Xenopus tropicalis: one gene and its partners. The protein of the gene in region 1 interacts with the protein of each later gene in a biochemical or structural test. Links are inferred from orthologs where the notes say so. Each region holds a gene or a part of one and is shown on either strand. Other genes may lie near its edges.

What was found. The genes of interacting proteins can lie anywhere in the genome.
Region 2: the proteins of rab5a (region 1) and appl1 form a complex in vitro, tested with the Homo sapiens proteins (2 studies listed by BioGRID and IntAct, with this or other methods). The link is inferred for Xenopus tropicalis from reciprocal best matches to the Homo sapiens genes RAB5A and APPL1.
Region 3: the proteins of rab5a (region 1) and rbsn form a complex in vitro, tested with the Homo sapiens proteins (3 studies listed by BioGRID, with this or other methods). The link is inferred for Xenopus tropicalis from reciprocal best matches to the Homo sapiens genes RAB5A and RBSN.

The regions. Positions count from the first base shown.
Region 1 is NC_030682.2:45,577,869-45,583,503, reverse strand, and holds part of rab5a (ras-related protein Rab-5A), read right to left. Parts: intron 3,488-5,635; 5' UTR 3,394-3,487; coding exon 3,228-3,393; intron 745-3,227; coding exon 593-744; intron 1-592. UniProt on the Homo sapiens protein: The small GTPases Rab are key regulators of intracellular membrane trafficking, from the formation of transport vesicles to their fusion with membranes.
Region 2 is NC_030680.2:148,649,606-148,654,196, forward strand, and holds the end of appl1 (DCC-interacting protein 13-alpha), read right to left. Parts: intron 4,561-4,591; coding exon 4,510-4,560; intron 3,290-4,509; coding exon 3,200-3,289; intron 2,551-3,199; coding exon 2,398-2,550; 3' UTR 1,932-2,397; downstream 1-1,931. UniProt on the Homo sapiens protein: Multifunctional adapter protein that binds to various membrane receptors, nuclear factors and signaling proteins to regulate many processes, such as cell proliferation, immune response, endosomal trafficking and cell metabolism.
Region 3 is NC_030680.2:132,267,958-132,273,592, reverse strand, and holds part of rbsn (rabenosyn-5), read right to left. Parts: intron 5,447-5,635; coding exon 5,344-5,446; intron 5,033-5,343; coding exon 4,928-5,032; intron 3,601-4,927; coding exon 2,536-3,600; 3' UTR 1-2,535. UniProt on the Homo sapiens protein: Rab4/Rab5 effector protein acting in early endocytic membrane fusion and membrane trafficking of recycling endosomes. Required for endosome fusion either homotypically or with clathrin coated vesicles.

The DNA.
Region 1 (5,635 bases):
CATACTAAAAGTTAACTCAGAAGTGGACACCCCCGGTGTTCAACTACCCGGAATACAGGTATGGGATCCCTTATCCGGAAACCTGTTATCCAGAAAGCTCCAATTTAATCAAATAATTCAGAAATTTAAAACCAATTTCTTTTTTCTCTGTAGTAATAAAACCATACCTTGTACTTGATCCCAACTAAGATATAAATAATCCTTATTGGATGCAAAACAATCCTATTGGGTTTAATTAATGTATTATTGATTCTTTAGGAGACTTAAGGTATGGAGATCCAAATTACAGAAAGACCCCTTATCCGGAATACCCTTGGTCCCGAGCATTCTGGATAATGGGCCCTATACCTGTACATATAAAACACATCTTTATAATTAGAATGATATTAAAGTATTGACCATTTGATACCCAAGGCCTAAACCTTGCCATTTTAAGTAAAAATCAACTCTAACAAGAAGAACAGGAGAAATATTGTAAACTCAGGAATATACTGGGTTTGCAAATTATAGGAACATACAGAATGAAGAAACTTGAATAAAAGTTTAATTTTATTACAAAAAAAATAATGCAGTAAAATACACTTATACTTACCTCATTTGTAATGTCATATACAACTATTGCAGCTTGGGCTCCCCTGTAGTACATTGGGGCCAAGCTGTGATACCTCTCTTGACCAGCTGTATCCCAAATTTCAAATTTTACAGTTGTATCATCGAGACAGACTGTTTGGGTAAGGAAAGCAGCTGTAAAGAGAAAAATAAAGAGACAAAGTAAGTTTTAAAAACAAATCCAAAACAACAACAAAAAAAGTAATGTTTTTTCATATTACAAATGATATATTGCAAATCCCCAAATAATTACTACACTGGCATGCATGGGCTACCTACAACTTCATCATAACCAAGTTGGAAGTTATAGGCCAATGCAAATGGCCCCTTCGTGGGTTGGCCCAAAGATTCGGGTCCCACTGAATACGGCTCTATACATAGCTGACAAGTCAAAGATTCAGTTGTTTAAGACTCTCCCAGAACTACTAAGAATTCCTATATATGACTTGCTTTAGCCCAGAACACAGTATAGGTATAGGACCCATTATCCAGAATGCTCGGGTATTCCGGATAAGGGGAATTCTGTTATTTGGATATCTATACCTTAAGTCTACTAAAAAAACAATAAAACATTAATTAAACCCAATAGGATTGTTTTGCCTCCAATATGGATACATTATACCTTAGTTGGTATCGAATACAAGGTACTGTTTTATTATTACAGAGAAAAAGGAAATACTTTTTAAAAATCTGAATCTTGGATAACGGGTCCCATATCTGTATAGTATATAAAATATTCTTTAATAGTAAAAATCCTATGTGATTATAGAATGTCTCCTCTGAAATATAAAATCAAAAAAGGACCAAAATTCAGTGTAGTAATATCACAGAAACAGCCCCTCTATAGTTCATTTTAAATATTACCAAAAGACTTCCACAGCCTGTGGCCTTCCAGCTGCAGGGAAATGGCGAGAGTTGCAGAACTGCAGCTGGTAGCAGAAAGTTCCAAATTACGGAAAGCCTGTCTCCCACAGACTCCATTGTAAGTAAATAATTATAATTTTTAAAAGTGATTTCCATTTTTTCTCTAATAATAAAACATTACCTTGTACTTGATCCTAATTAAGATATTTAAGATAATTAATGGAGGCAAAACAATCCTATTGGGTTTATTCAATATTTAAAGGATTTTTAGCAGACTTAAATTATGGAGATCCAAATTACGGAACAATCCCTTATCCAGAAAACCCCAGGTCCCAAGCATTCTGGATAACAGGCCCCATACCTGTATAATGATAAGCCTATTATGTAAACTGCTATCTATATTCTTGGTTACTTGGGCACATGGGTGGTAAAATGTAATCTGGCTCTAACTCCAGATCCTGATATTCTAAACATAATAAAGAGCAACATAAAGTGTGTGCAAAACAGAGAAAAGCAACGTTACATTTTCCTCTGAAGTTTTCCATCTGATCAGGAATTAAACCAGTCCAGTGTTACCAAATGACAGCAATGGGAGTCATACAGACAAATTGTTATAAATCACAGTATTAAAGGAAATCTAATGCATAGACAGGTTTGTTACGACACATTTGGCCTTTAAAGGGAGCTGCTGAGCCGAAGCGTCTAAAACTGCCAATATCTCAGAAAAGTGAAAGTAAATTTCATGAGTTCTCAGAGAAGTATTATGAATACATTTACATAAATATCTGTTTTTAAGCTTATATACCCTTTAGTAGAATTTACACAAGTAAGGCAAAGACATATCACCCTCTCACACACAACTATGTTGGCTGGTGCCCTATAGCTCTAGATATCAGATTAACGATTGATTTAAGGTAATTGGATACTCAGCAGCTCATTCAACAAATGATGTGTGCAGTTCTGCAATGTCAGCAGTGAGCCTGCAGTGTACCTGCCCAGCCCTCACCTAAGCAGCTAGGCCACACCAAATGACCTAATCACTCATATGACTCTAGCCTTAAAGGCATCCTCCCCACAAAAACTATTTTTTGCATGATAAAAGCATATACAATCATGAGCGACTTAACATTTATAGATTTCAGTGGGTTTACAGTATTTGCACATGTAATTGCAGTTAAAAGCACTCCTGGCTCGGACTACAGAAACAATGTTGCAAGCCAGCTAATTAAAGCTGATTTATAGACCTGGCTCCTGTTACAGTTTTAAGAGACAGTCCAGTTGAACAGAAAGGGTTAAACAGTGTTTTAAACTTCAATTTCATTTAGGGAAACCTGTGCACTAAATCCATTATAAGGATTTGGCTGAACCCCAAATCCTTTGTGAAAGATTCAGCCGAATACTGGACCGAATCTGAATCCTAAAATTTCCATATGCAAACGGAGATGAAGAAGGGGATAGAGAACAACGTGTTCTAAGTATGGCCAGAGGCATGGATTAGGCCGAATCCTGCTGGAAAATGCCGAATCCTGAATTCATGCATCCCCACTATATTGTTAATAAAGTACTTTCTATTGTAAAGTATAAAGTCACCTCAGAGTTCCAGGACCCTGCCTGTGGCCTCATTATTTTAAATGGTCATGGAACTGCTTGGTGACTAATAATTTGGGGTACCATTCAATATATAATGTATATATTTGTGATGTTTTGATTACATTTTTAAATACAGCTGTAATACTTTGCAATATTTCTCTGACCTCCAATTGTGCTCTCTTGGAATTCGTGAAACTGTCCCTTTACGAAGCGAAGCACTAGACTAGACTTTCCAACTGCGGATTCTCCTAAAAGGACAAGTTTAAACTGACAGATTTTATTTCCTGCATTCGGTCCATTCGGTCTGGTAGCTCCGCCTCGGTTTGCCATGTTTGATTGTAGGCAAAACGTCTGATGATTACAAAGTCGGCTGCAGCCCAATAAGCAAAGGGTGGGTTGGATGCTCACTTATCCTTCTGGCAATCTATTAAATGAGAACATAATACAGTGTGTATTAATATACAAACATCCAAATAAATGACTGATTTTAGAAACCTTATTGAGTGCTACTCCGTTATAACAAAACCAAAAACACACTAACTAAAACATTTATCCACCAACAGAGTAAAATGAAAACATTCATCCACCAACAGAGAAAAATGGATAACAGTACATATGAAAGAGAGGGGAAAAAGGGTTACCCAGGTTCAGTAACACACAGCAGACAATAACAGGTAATTATACTTTTTATTACATAACCTCCTTAAAGGCTACAAATACCCAAAGATACCAGCATCCCATGTCTTAAAATGTAGTAAGCAAATTCTTACCACTGACTGGGAAGCTATAGAAGATATTGGTAATGAAGAGTTAGTCCAGAAAATGTATACAATATGCATATTTGTGGACAATAGGCCAATAGGCAGACAATTCTCTGTGGAACCCCTTATGGCTTCAGCAGTTGCATCTGTGGGGTTTAAAAATCTGACCTACTTTTTCAAAGGTTTCTCAATATACAGATGGGCCTACAGTGCAGTCAGATGAGGACCGCAGCAACAAACCAATACGGTCCTTATCAGACAGTAAAATTAAACCAGCCGAAATGACATGTAGCTAATTTTTGGAGAAATATCAGTTGAATAAGCCCACCGGGGGGCCCATATACACGCTATGTATGGCCACCTTAGAGAAAAAGTAAAAACAAATGTGGGTAGAAATGCCATATTTTATAATACTGCACAAGCCTAAATTTTAATAACTTATACAACAGTAATGATTCAGACAAATGCAAATCACCATCTTTGAGCATGTGCAGTTTTACAGACACTCCTAAAAAAAAAAATCAGTGAGCAACTGCTGACAAGCTAAACTTGGGGATTGTAGCAAATTATCAAACAGAAAATAAGGTTTGTCTGTCATATAGGGTGATGCTACCGGGCTGACTATTAAATTCTGATATTCACTGCACTGGTTTCTGAGCTGCCATGTGATGAGAATTTTAATTATTTACTAATCAGTCTTTAAATTGTGACTATTATATTCTCTACATACAGTATAATGTGAGTGGGTCCCTAAGCTCAGTAAGTGACAGCAGCACAGAGCATGTGCAGAGAATCAGCAGAAAAGAAGATGGGGAGCTACTGGGGACAACTTCGGATTCACAGATCTTCACTGCTAAAAGGCTGTGGTTGCCTTGAGCTGATACAGAACCTCAAAATATAATGTGTAGCATTTCTAGCCTACTTTTTTTTAGCAAGCTCCAGTTCTCCTTTAAGCCTGTTGAGCCACTGGGCAGACAGGTGGCCAAGAAAAGCACTTTGAGGGCCCTCAGGGCATCCAGATGTACAATCCATGCCTAAAACACAGACAATCAAATTAAATTATATTGTACAGTGTACTTATGTGCAAAAGAGCAACACAAGTTAACACTTGGTCTAAACACAGGAGAATGAATAGCATACAGGTAAATAGGTCCCATGTGATTATTTTCAGTGGGATTTTTTGGCTTTAGATTTTAAATGGCATATGGCTTCTACTAGCACAGCTGTCACTTAATCCTCTCTGAACAATGTCATTTCAACCCTAACAAAAAAATTGGGTTATAAAATGGAAAGCAGCTTCAGATGTAAAAATTGAGAAAATAAAGTGTCCTGATGCAAACTATTCATTAAAAGAAAGTCCCCACTTTGCAGTCAGACATGTGGTTTTGGCAGTCACTCTCCTATAGTTCTGTTGATAATCAAGCCAGTAAATACACATCAAATTTCAACCTAATTGGATAAGTCTGTAGCTATATTGAGATCTGGGACCCTTACTTTTTTCTATATTATTTTACCATTGACTGTTGCCATCTACTAACAACTGACTATTCTGTAGTGGCAAAGAGAGCACCTCAACAGATTCCTAGGAACAGTAATCTTAGCAACAAAGAAGCATTTTAACTAAAAACAAAGAAGCCAAATATTTACCAGCATACAGAAAAAAAAATATCCCAAACACATGGGGATTAACATCACGTAGCCTATTTGTAAGTTAACTGTCTGCACTTATATATGCATAACTGAGTTGGAGCTTCCATGTTGCTTGCTTTGGAAAACATAAGAGGAGATATTTTCCATGTACAGGTATAGGA
Region 2 (4,591 bases), on another chromosome or scaffold:
TTACCCATCATTCCATCTGTATGTGTCACATGGTATCGCTGAATCGGGCATCGCACGTACAGGCCCAACCCACTTACCCATCATTCCATCTGTATGTGTCACATGGTATCGCTGAATCGGGCATCGCACGTACAGGCCCAACCCACTTACCCATCATTCCATCTGTATGTGTCACATGGTATCGCTGAATCGGGCATCGCACGTACAGGCCCAACCCACTTACCCATCATTCCATCTGTATGTGTCACATGGTATCGCTGAATCGGGCATCGCACGTACAGGCCCAACCCACTTACCCATCATTCCATCTGTATATGTCACATGGTATCGCTGAATCGGGCAACGCACTTACAGGCCCAACCCACTTACCCATCATTCCATCTGTATATGTCACATGGTATCGCTGAATCAGGCAATGCACTTACAGGCCCAACCCACTTACCCATCATTCCATATGTATGTGTCACATGGTATCGCTGAATCGGGCATCGCACGTACAGGCCCAACCCACTTACCCATCATTCCATCTGTTTGTGTCACATGGTATCGCTGAATCGGGCATCGCACATACAGGCCCAACCCACTTACCCATCATTCCATCTGTATGTGTCACATGGTATCGCTGAATCGGGCATCGCACTTACAGGCCCAACCCACTTACCCATCATTCCATCTGTATGTGTCACATGGTATCGCTGAATCGGGCATCGCACATACAGGCCCAACCCACTTACCCATCATTCCATCTGTATGTGTCACATGGTATCGCTGAATCGGGCATCGCACTTACAGGCCCAACCCACTTACCCATCATTCCATCTGTATGTGTCACATGGTATCGCTGAATCGGGCATCGCACATACAGGCCCAACCCACTTACCCATCATTCCATCTGTATGTGTCACATGGTATCGCTGAATCGGGCAACGCACTTACAGGCCCAACCCACTTACCCATCATTCCATCTGTATGTGTCACATGGTATCGCTGAATCAGGCATCGCACTTACAGGCCCAACCCACTTACCCATCATTCCATCTGTATGTGTCACATGGTATCGCTGAATCGGGCATCGCACGTACAGGCCCAACCCACTTACCCATCATTCCATCTGTTTGTGTCACATGGTATCGCTGAATCAGGCATCGCACTTACAGGCCCAACCCACTTACCCATCATTCCATCTGTTTGTGTCACATGGTATCGCTGAATCAGGCAACGCACTTACAGGCCCAACCCACTTACCCATCATTCCATCTGTTTGTGTCACATGGTATCGCTGAATCAGGCAACGCACTTACAGGCCCAACCCACTTACCCATCATTCCATCTGTATGTGTCACATGGTATCGCTGAATCAGGCAACGCACTTACAGGCCCAACCCACTTACCCATCATTCCATCTGTTTGTGTCACATGGTATCACTGAACTGGTAAAGGCAAAACTCTCCATGACAACCAGTATCAGCTACTTTCTTGCCTCCCATAATCCCTGGGGGGAGTGACTATTGTTAATTATGTGCCCGGGTGGGGGGGGGGGGCATTAAGGTGCAGTAAGGGGGGGTGCCTACTGGTGCCTGTGCCTACTACCCCAGACAAACCAGTGGCCCTGGGCCCCTGTACACTGCTACTAGTAGCTCTGTGTGTCTTTGCCCTTAGTGGTTGTGGAAAGTCGGAGCTCCCAGCAGGGGGCGCTATACCTCATATCATTGTCTGACCCCCTGTAATTACTGTTCTACATTTATCCCTATAGAACCTGACAGGTAAGAGGTAGAAGTGGGCAACTCCCGGGATCCCCCAGTCAGTACGTGCCGCCTACCCCTATACTGGGAGTTGCACAGACTGGGCGTGCCTGGAACAGGCCCACTTTGTTTCAGATGCTAAAGGGTTAACATTAAAGATCAGCAGAAAAAAAAGGACCAACTGCAAAGTTTCTTAGAATGTGACTTATTAAAATTTTAATCTTGAGGTTAGCTTGCCCTTTAAACCATACACCTGACTGCCCTTATGGACGGCGGCAGGACATTCAAGAGGGCATTGAGGGCAAACGCATTAACCCCCCCCCCGCCCCCAGCAATTAAAAGGTTTAATCACGATGGGGCACAAGAGCGTCCCGTTACGACAACGATTCATTACAAACGACGACGGACGGCGCGAGGCCGACGCCCAACTCCCATCAAGCTCGGCGCTTCCCCTTTATTGTCCTGTAAATGGAGGCAGCATCACAATAGGCTTGGTCTGGGGGGCACCGAAGGTTCCGCGGGGGCGCCCCGGGTCAGTATGGCGGCCCCCAAACATGGCCGCTTCCCAAAGGCAAAGTAATGAGCGCTTGTACTCGAGTGATTACGGGGATAATAAAAGGCGATGTGTCCTGCCCGTGCCTTTAATCGGCCTCCGTCACGCCTCCGACTCTCGCTGCTTCTTCTTCCCCTCGTCCCCCACATCGCTGTCTTCTGATTGGCTGCTGCTCAGAACCACAAACTGCCCCTCGGCGCTGGCCTGGGCGGGCCTGCTGGAGGCGGCGATTAAACGGCTCTGCTCTTCCAGATCCTGGGGGTACAGAGGTTACGGTCAGATCGCCCCAACGGGGGAGCAACCGGGGCCCCCCAACTGATACACTGCCATTAGGGCGGGTCACCTTTTCGTTGACTTTTAGTATGTTATAGAATGGCCTATTCCTGGCATCTTTGCAATTGGTCTTCATTATTTATAGTTTTTTAATTATTTCCCTTCCTCTTCTGACTCTTTGCAGCTTTCAAATGGGGGTCACTGACCCCGGCAGCCAAACCCTATTGCTCTGTGAGGCTCCAGTTTTATTGTTACTTTTTATTCCTTATCTTTATATTTAGGCCCCTCCCCTATTCATATTCCCATCTGTCGTTGAAACCACTTCCTGGTTGCTGGGGTAAATAAGACCCCAGCAACCAGATAGCTGCTAAAAGACCAAATGGAGAGCTGCTGAAACCATAAAATATTAAAAAATGAAGACCAATTGCAAATAGTCGCTGAATATCAATTTCTACAACATATTAAAAGGTGAACTACCCCTTTAAACGTTAAAGGAAAACTGCACCCAAAAAGTGACTTTTTCATACTTTAGGAAAATCTGATAACCAGTTTAACAGTAGCATGAGAAGCACAAAGGGAGTATTGCCCCCCCCCCCCCGGGGGTAAAAACTGCTCAGGGGTAGGGACCTACCTTTTCTATCTGTTTCTGTTTGCTGATTTCTTTCTGTTGTTTCTCTTTGACTTTGTCGATTTCTTTCTGCTTCTCCGACGCTCGGCGATCCTGTCAGCGAGCAAAGATATCGGATCAGGTCACATGACCTTTAATGAGCAAACCTTCATTTTTTCCCCATTGATTCTTTTTGCTTTATTTTGCTCCTAAAACTTCCTCTGTACCTTCAATAACCCTCCTATTGTGTTACTATAGGGATTCCTAAGCACAATTCAGCAGGAACAGCCCCCTAAGTTTGCCCATAGCCTGTACAGAGAGATACCATAAAACTATGGCACATAGGGATTCCCCTGTACTAAGCGCAATTCAGCAGGAACAGCCCCCTAAGTTTGCTCATAGCCTGTACAGAGAGATACCATAAAACTATGACACATAGGGATTCCCCTGTACTAAGCACAATTCAGCAGGAACAGCCCCCTAAGTTTGCTCATAGCCTGTACAGAGAGATACCATAAAACTATGGCACATAGGGATTCCCCTGTACTAAGCACAATTCAGCAGGAACAGACCCCTAAGTTTGCTCATAGCCTGTACAGAGAGATACCATAAAACTATGGCACATAGGGATTCCCCTGTACTAAGCACAATTCAGCAGGAACAGCCCCCTAAGTTTGCTCATAGCCTGTACAGAGAGATACCATAAAACTATGGCACATAGGGATTCCCCTGTACTAAGCACAATTCAGCAGGAACAGCCCCCTAAGTTTGCCCATAGCCTGTACAGAGAGATCCCATAAAACTATGGCACATAGGGATTCCCCTGTACTAAGCACAATTCAGCAGGAACAGCCCCCTAAGTTTGCTCATAGCCTGTACAGAGAGATACCATAAAACTATGGCACATAGGGATTCCCCTGTACTAAGCACAATTCAGCAGGAACAGCCCCCTAAGTTTGCCCATAGCCTGTACAGAGAGATCCCATAAAACTATGGCACATAGGGGTTCCCCTGTACTAAGCACAATTCAGCAGGAACAGCCCCCTAAGTTTGCCCATAGCCTGTACAGAGAGATACCATAAAACTATGGCACATAGGGATTCCCCTGTACTAAGCACAATTCAGCAGGAACAGCCCCCTAAGTTTGCTCATAGCCTGTACAGAGAGATACCATAAAACTATGGCACATAGGGATTCCCCTGTACTAAGCACAATTCAGCGGGAACAGCCCCCTATTCATATTATAGCTGCGTAAATTCCAATTCCAACTTAATTTAAAGGTGAACAACCCCTTTAACAAGCCATGCAGGGAGTTGCAGTTCAGCGACACTTACAAGTTCTGCATGAAGAGCGATCTGTTTCGCCAGCCCCACGGAATCGCAGATCTGTGAAGGGAACAAATGTGAGATTTGTAAG
Region 3 (5,635 bases), on another chromosome or scaffold:
AGAAAGGAATTCTGGGAGTTGATTTAAGGTTCCACACTGGCACCATGGCTGGCATGCATTGCATCTACTAAGCAGAGGTACCAGTTGGATTTGAATCTTTCTCCCATTTATTAACCTTGGGTCGCACATTGCTGGACTGTAACTCCTAGAATTCTTCAGCATACAATTAAGGGTTAAAGCATTCTGTGAGTTATAGTCCAACAATATCTGGGGAAACAGGTTAATGAGGTTTAGTGTTGGGAGCTGTTAGCCCAAGTATAACCCTTAGGGTGGGAGAAGCCGGCTGTATAGTAAGTGCAAAGCATCTCAAAGCAGAGAAGATACGGCAGAATAATCAGAACGAATGCAATCGCCAAGCATGTAATATTAAGCTTATTAACCACATCAAGTCAGGATCAGTGACAACACTGGCTTTATGCAAACTGTCCAACAAACAGTTATACAAAACTAAGGACAAGCAGCTTGATACATGCTTAATGTCATTCTCCCAGTGCCCAAGGGGACAAATGATTTGCCTGTGCACCCCATAATGCATGTAACCCACTCCTCTCCATGTATACATCAGGAGGTGCAGGGGCCAGCAGGAGGGAGGGAGCAGGGTAAATGTGGGTCCTTAATGGGTGCCCCTCAGTTGTAGAGGTCTGTAGTTATGCCCCTGGCCACTGGCCATGTTGGCCTGTAGTGTCAGAGCTGTAGGAGCTCCCAGTTGCCATTGTATAAATAACAAAGTGCAAACACTGTTCTCAGAAAACTCACACTTATCACTCTGCTTTGTACAAATACTGCTTTTGGTTATGGCGCACTGCCGCGCACACACGCGTACACACACCAACACACATACACACACGCACCAACACACATACACCCACACTGTATTTGTTCCATGTAGATTTGTTCCTATGTGCCTTGGAATAAGTGGTTTTTACAAAATACAATCAAAGATAAAACAGAACTCAGTTTGGACTTGGCCAAGAATGATTTGTACTTGGTAATATTCAGTTCAGCCAATATTTAAGGATTTGGTTGCCTCAATCAATCCCTTTGCTGTCACATGTCAGATGATAAAGGAAGGGCAAATGTATAATGGTTTTGTTTTTAGCCCTAGAAATAGTAGTGTCAGAGAGCTAAAAACTTGTCCTAATACGGAAATTTCAAGTTACTGAGGGGGTATCAATTTATTAGTTACTGCCCCCCCCCCCGGTGACCTAAATCGCTTATGTCCAACCCCAGGTTGATGCTCCATTTCATTAGAAAGCACCCTGGTTCATATCTGCACAGTGGGCCACCACCATATTGCCCCAGGCATCCCCTGTGAGACGTTCTTAAATACACATGTGCCAAATCTGAACTCACAAGGGGGACACGCGGGAGCAGCGCCCCAGGTCACACATTCACAGGTGGGACTCCATTCTTAGCTTTCAGCCCATTTACGGAGTGATGGCCAATTCAATTAAATAAAGTGGCCAACGTTATCATACCATGAGGCAGAGCCCTGGATCAATGACAGGTAAAAGGATAAGAAAATATGGTCTCTGTCGTGCCAGTCCTTTCCCTTGAAACTGGCCCTGAAGTGCTAAATAATTACAGATCCTGACCCTGTACTAAAACCACTATTTCCTTTTTACCTTTTAAACATATGTTGTCCATAGTTAGTGTTAACTGGGACCAATAGCGTTTTATGAGCTCCTTTCATGAACACTTGTTAATGGGTTTGTTAAAGGGCAACTATCCCCAACCAACAACAAAAATTAAATTGGTTTTACATCCATATCTAGTCACATGGGTTGGGTATATGTCCACTTTAAAACTGGACCCACTGTGTGAATTTACTATGTTATACTTACACAAAGGAATAAGGACAGACTGTGGCTCTGAGATCTAACCTTATTAATGGAAAACATATGTATAGGCATAAAAGTATTTTTTACAGAAACATTGGTCTAGGCTACAGCCCTTTTTTAAGCTGATATGATACAAGGGGCCAAGGCTGATATTTAGAGTTTTTCATGGCAGCATGGCCCTCCCAATCAATCACATACACATCACAGCATGAAGCAATGCATTGGATGACTGAGAAAATAATAACCACTTACTCCTAATGGTATAATGCCCTTTAAAGGGTGGTATACCCTATTTATAAGTGACTTTGCATTTATCTTCCCATACTGTTTGCAAAGATCATTCTATCTCTGTATATATTACACAGACATGGTAGCTGTCAGATTGCTGCTTTCAGCTGAGGACAGATGCTGGGACAAGCATATTGGCAGCTCCCATTCATATGTAAAAGTGGATGTAACCAATGAAATCATGTAACAAACCAAGCTGCAATACTTTACTGCCTACTGAAAAGAAACAAATTGGAAGCCTATATGTGACAATGAAAACTGAATGGGCACTGAAAAGCCACAATCTTGACCACATAACCCTTTTGGTGCTACAAGTGCCCAGGACTGCAAAGGTTTTAAATGATCCAGAACTCTGAGCATGACCCGCTGTTCGGCCCCATGGAGGTGTTTTTCTCACCACTCTGTGTTATTTAATTTGCTCCTTCTGTTTGGCAAGTGTCTTCTTCAGTTCTCGCAGATTCTCAGTTAGAACCTCTACTTCATCCAGCCGGCCACTGTGCTTGGCATCAAAGATGTACGCCTTGATGTTATCAATCTGTTGCAGCAGCAGATCTTCTTCTATGACCTCTTCATCCTGGGTCTCCTCACTGTCCTCAAATGGGTTTCCTGGGATCTGATCCTCATCAGTTTCAAAGGGATTCTGGGAAATACCTGATGCGCTATTACTGTCTGTGGAGCATTCAAAGGGATTGCTTGAGGCAGGGGCTGTTAAATGTTTATTATCCTCTTCCTTACTATCCAAGCCATTCTCATCATTCTCGTCAAAGGGATTATACTCCTTCCTACCATTGTGATGTGTGTGGAGAGGAAGCAAAGGTGCTGGTTCATCATCCTCATCTTCGAAAGGGTTAGAGGGTGTAACTTTACTCTTCTCCACTTTGGGCAAAACAGGGGTTGTGGTCATGGAGTGATTTGGAAGTACATGGTAGTCCTCCACATCCAGTTTGCTTTCAGTAACACGCTGGGATGGAAGGGATTCGTTGAGGTCACGTTTGGGAAATTGTAGGTCCAGAGCTGCTGTCTGTTTTTCCTGCCACCCCATTGGCTGTCCCTGCTCTCTAAAATCCAATGAATGAGTTCTGTTGTGTTGAGCTAAGCCTTTGAGTTGCTCGCGTTTCACCTCTCTTTTCCTCAGCACTTCCAGCTGCTCCCTCTGCATGGCCTCCTCCTCAGCCAGAACCTTGGACATCTGGATGGCTGTTTCCACCTGCTGCTCGTCGTACTCCTCCTGCAGTTGTCTAAGGTTATCCTCCAGCATCTGCACCTCGTCCACTCGCCCAGCATCTTTGGCTTGCCGGATGTACGATGTGATGTTTTCAATCTGCTGGAGAAGGGGGTCTGACATCTCTCTGTTTCGAGGGTGTCCGGATGTCGGAAGCCAGCCCTCAACTTTGCGAATCTGACCACTCGGAGACAGACCACCATTGCGTACATCCCTTTTCTTGTCATCACCGGCCTTCTGTGCTTCAGCCTGCAAAAGAAAATACAGAGAAGCTGCTGAAAGAAACTTCCTCCAGACACTCACAAAAATAACATGTCCTTCTGCCATGGATTTAGCCAAGTGTAGAATTTAGAGCTCTAAACTCTAAAACTGCAGCTTGCACTTTTCCAGACAGAGAGCTGCATGTATCACCACTTTTGTTAATGGTGCTTGGGTCAGAATGCTCAATCCTTCCTGCCTTCTATTCCAAATCAGACACTGCTGCGCCTATTGAGGCAGGGAACCCTGGAGCTACTGCAACCTTCTTATCAGGCAGTAGCTCCAGGGTTCCCTTTGTGGTCTTTTTGCCAAAGGGCATGTGCAGCAATAATAGGGCACACATGTCACTCGCATGCCAAACACCAGAAATGATGCCAGCGAACCCTGACCAATGGCCAGTCGGATTTAGAAAATAGACTGTGCCTGATTTGACAAAAGCACATGTGCCGCTACATCAACTTCATCAATAGAATCGCCCATTTGGATCTGCAATGATACCAGAAATCAAGAAAAAATGTTGGAATGTGGGAAAAAAAGCAGATTGTACTTATAATTGCACTTGACGTAAACGTAAAGCCTTCTTCTCTCTATACTTGCCCTTGTAGGTTAAAAGGGTCTGTCACATGGCTAAAGGTCCCCATACACGGGCCGATTATAGCTGCCGATATCGGTCCCTTGGACCCATTCGGCAGCTTATCAGCCCGTGTAGCGGCAGAACCGAGGGGCCTGGCTGACCGATATCTGGCCTGAAATTGGCCAGATATCAATCGGCCAGGTTAGAAAATCCAGTTGGATCGGGGACCGTATCGGCTTGTTGATGCGGCCCCCGAACCGACTGCCCCATTGCCGCCCACATAATCCGATCGTTTGGCCCCAGGGCCAAAATGATCGAATAATTTTTTTTTTTACCTAAAAGCTCCCCGATATCAGCCACCCATAGGTGGGGTTATCGGGTGCAGATCGCCAAGCGAGCGGATCTCAGCATGTATGGGGACCTTTAGTGTTGCCACAATTATTTAATCACAATAATTTAGGTAGTATTATGACTTCCAGTATCTTTTATGGGGTTTGGGGGTGATGGCCCAGGCCCAGACTGGCAATCTATGGGTTCTGGCCAAAGCCAGAGGGGCTGCTGTAAGATGCCATAGACAGTCACTATTTATTGGGCTGGTGGGCGCAGTTTGGGCCTCTGTGAACACCAAGGCCAGTTTTGAATCCCAGTCTGGGCCTGGAATCGTCATACAATTGAACTAGCAGATATATGTTGGTAGCAACAGCTAGCAGTTGCACTATGATAGATTACTATAGGATTACTTACCTGTCGCTCTCTCTGCAGTTTCTGCTCATTCTCTTGCCTCCGCTTCTGTTTAAGCTCCTCGTATATTTCTTTAGTTGGCAAAGACATTAAGCCCAGTAATTTTTCCTGAACAGAAAGAGAAATTAACAAAAAGGATGAGTCAAGAGTCCTTCATGTCAAGTGACTCACTGCCTTTACTGGTCAGACCAGTAAAACAGAAAGTGAGAGTCTCATTACTGCTCTTGATGGAGGTTACAATTAACAGGAATTTGACTGTGCATGGTACTGAGTGAGAATCGTGGAACTGAACTTACCATAAGCATTATATTCCCTAATCTATTTGCCAACTACAATTCAATAACAGTGTTGCACCAGCATCTCATATGCAGAGATTCTAAACAAATAAATGTCAAGGAAGTAAATAAACAAATCATTACCTGAACAAACAAGGTGGCCGAATATCTCACCATCTTCTGTAACTGCTGTGTTTTAGGGTGAGGCTTGGGTTCTTCATTCATTCCAAGGGTGAGAATCTTCTTGCTGGCAAACAATACAAATGATTATATGGGCAATATATAGCAAAGGGCTTTTTCTAAAATGGTGGAGGCCAGCAGGATACTTTTGAAGCAAAAACACATGTTTAGTAAGAATAGTACAGATTTCTTCCACCTATCAAATATTGCTATATTAGAGTTATCTGAGCATAAGCACTCACCACTGGGCTGTGCT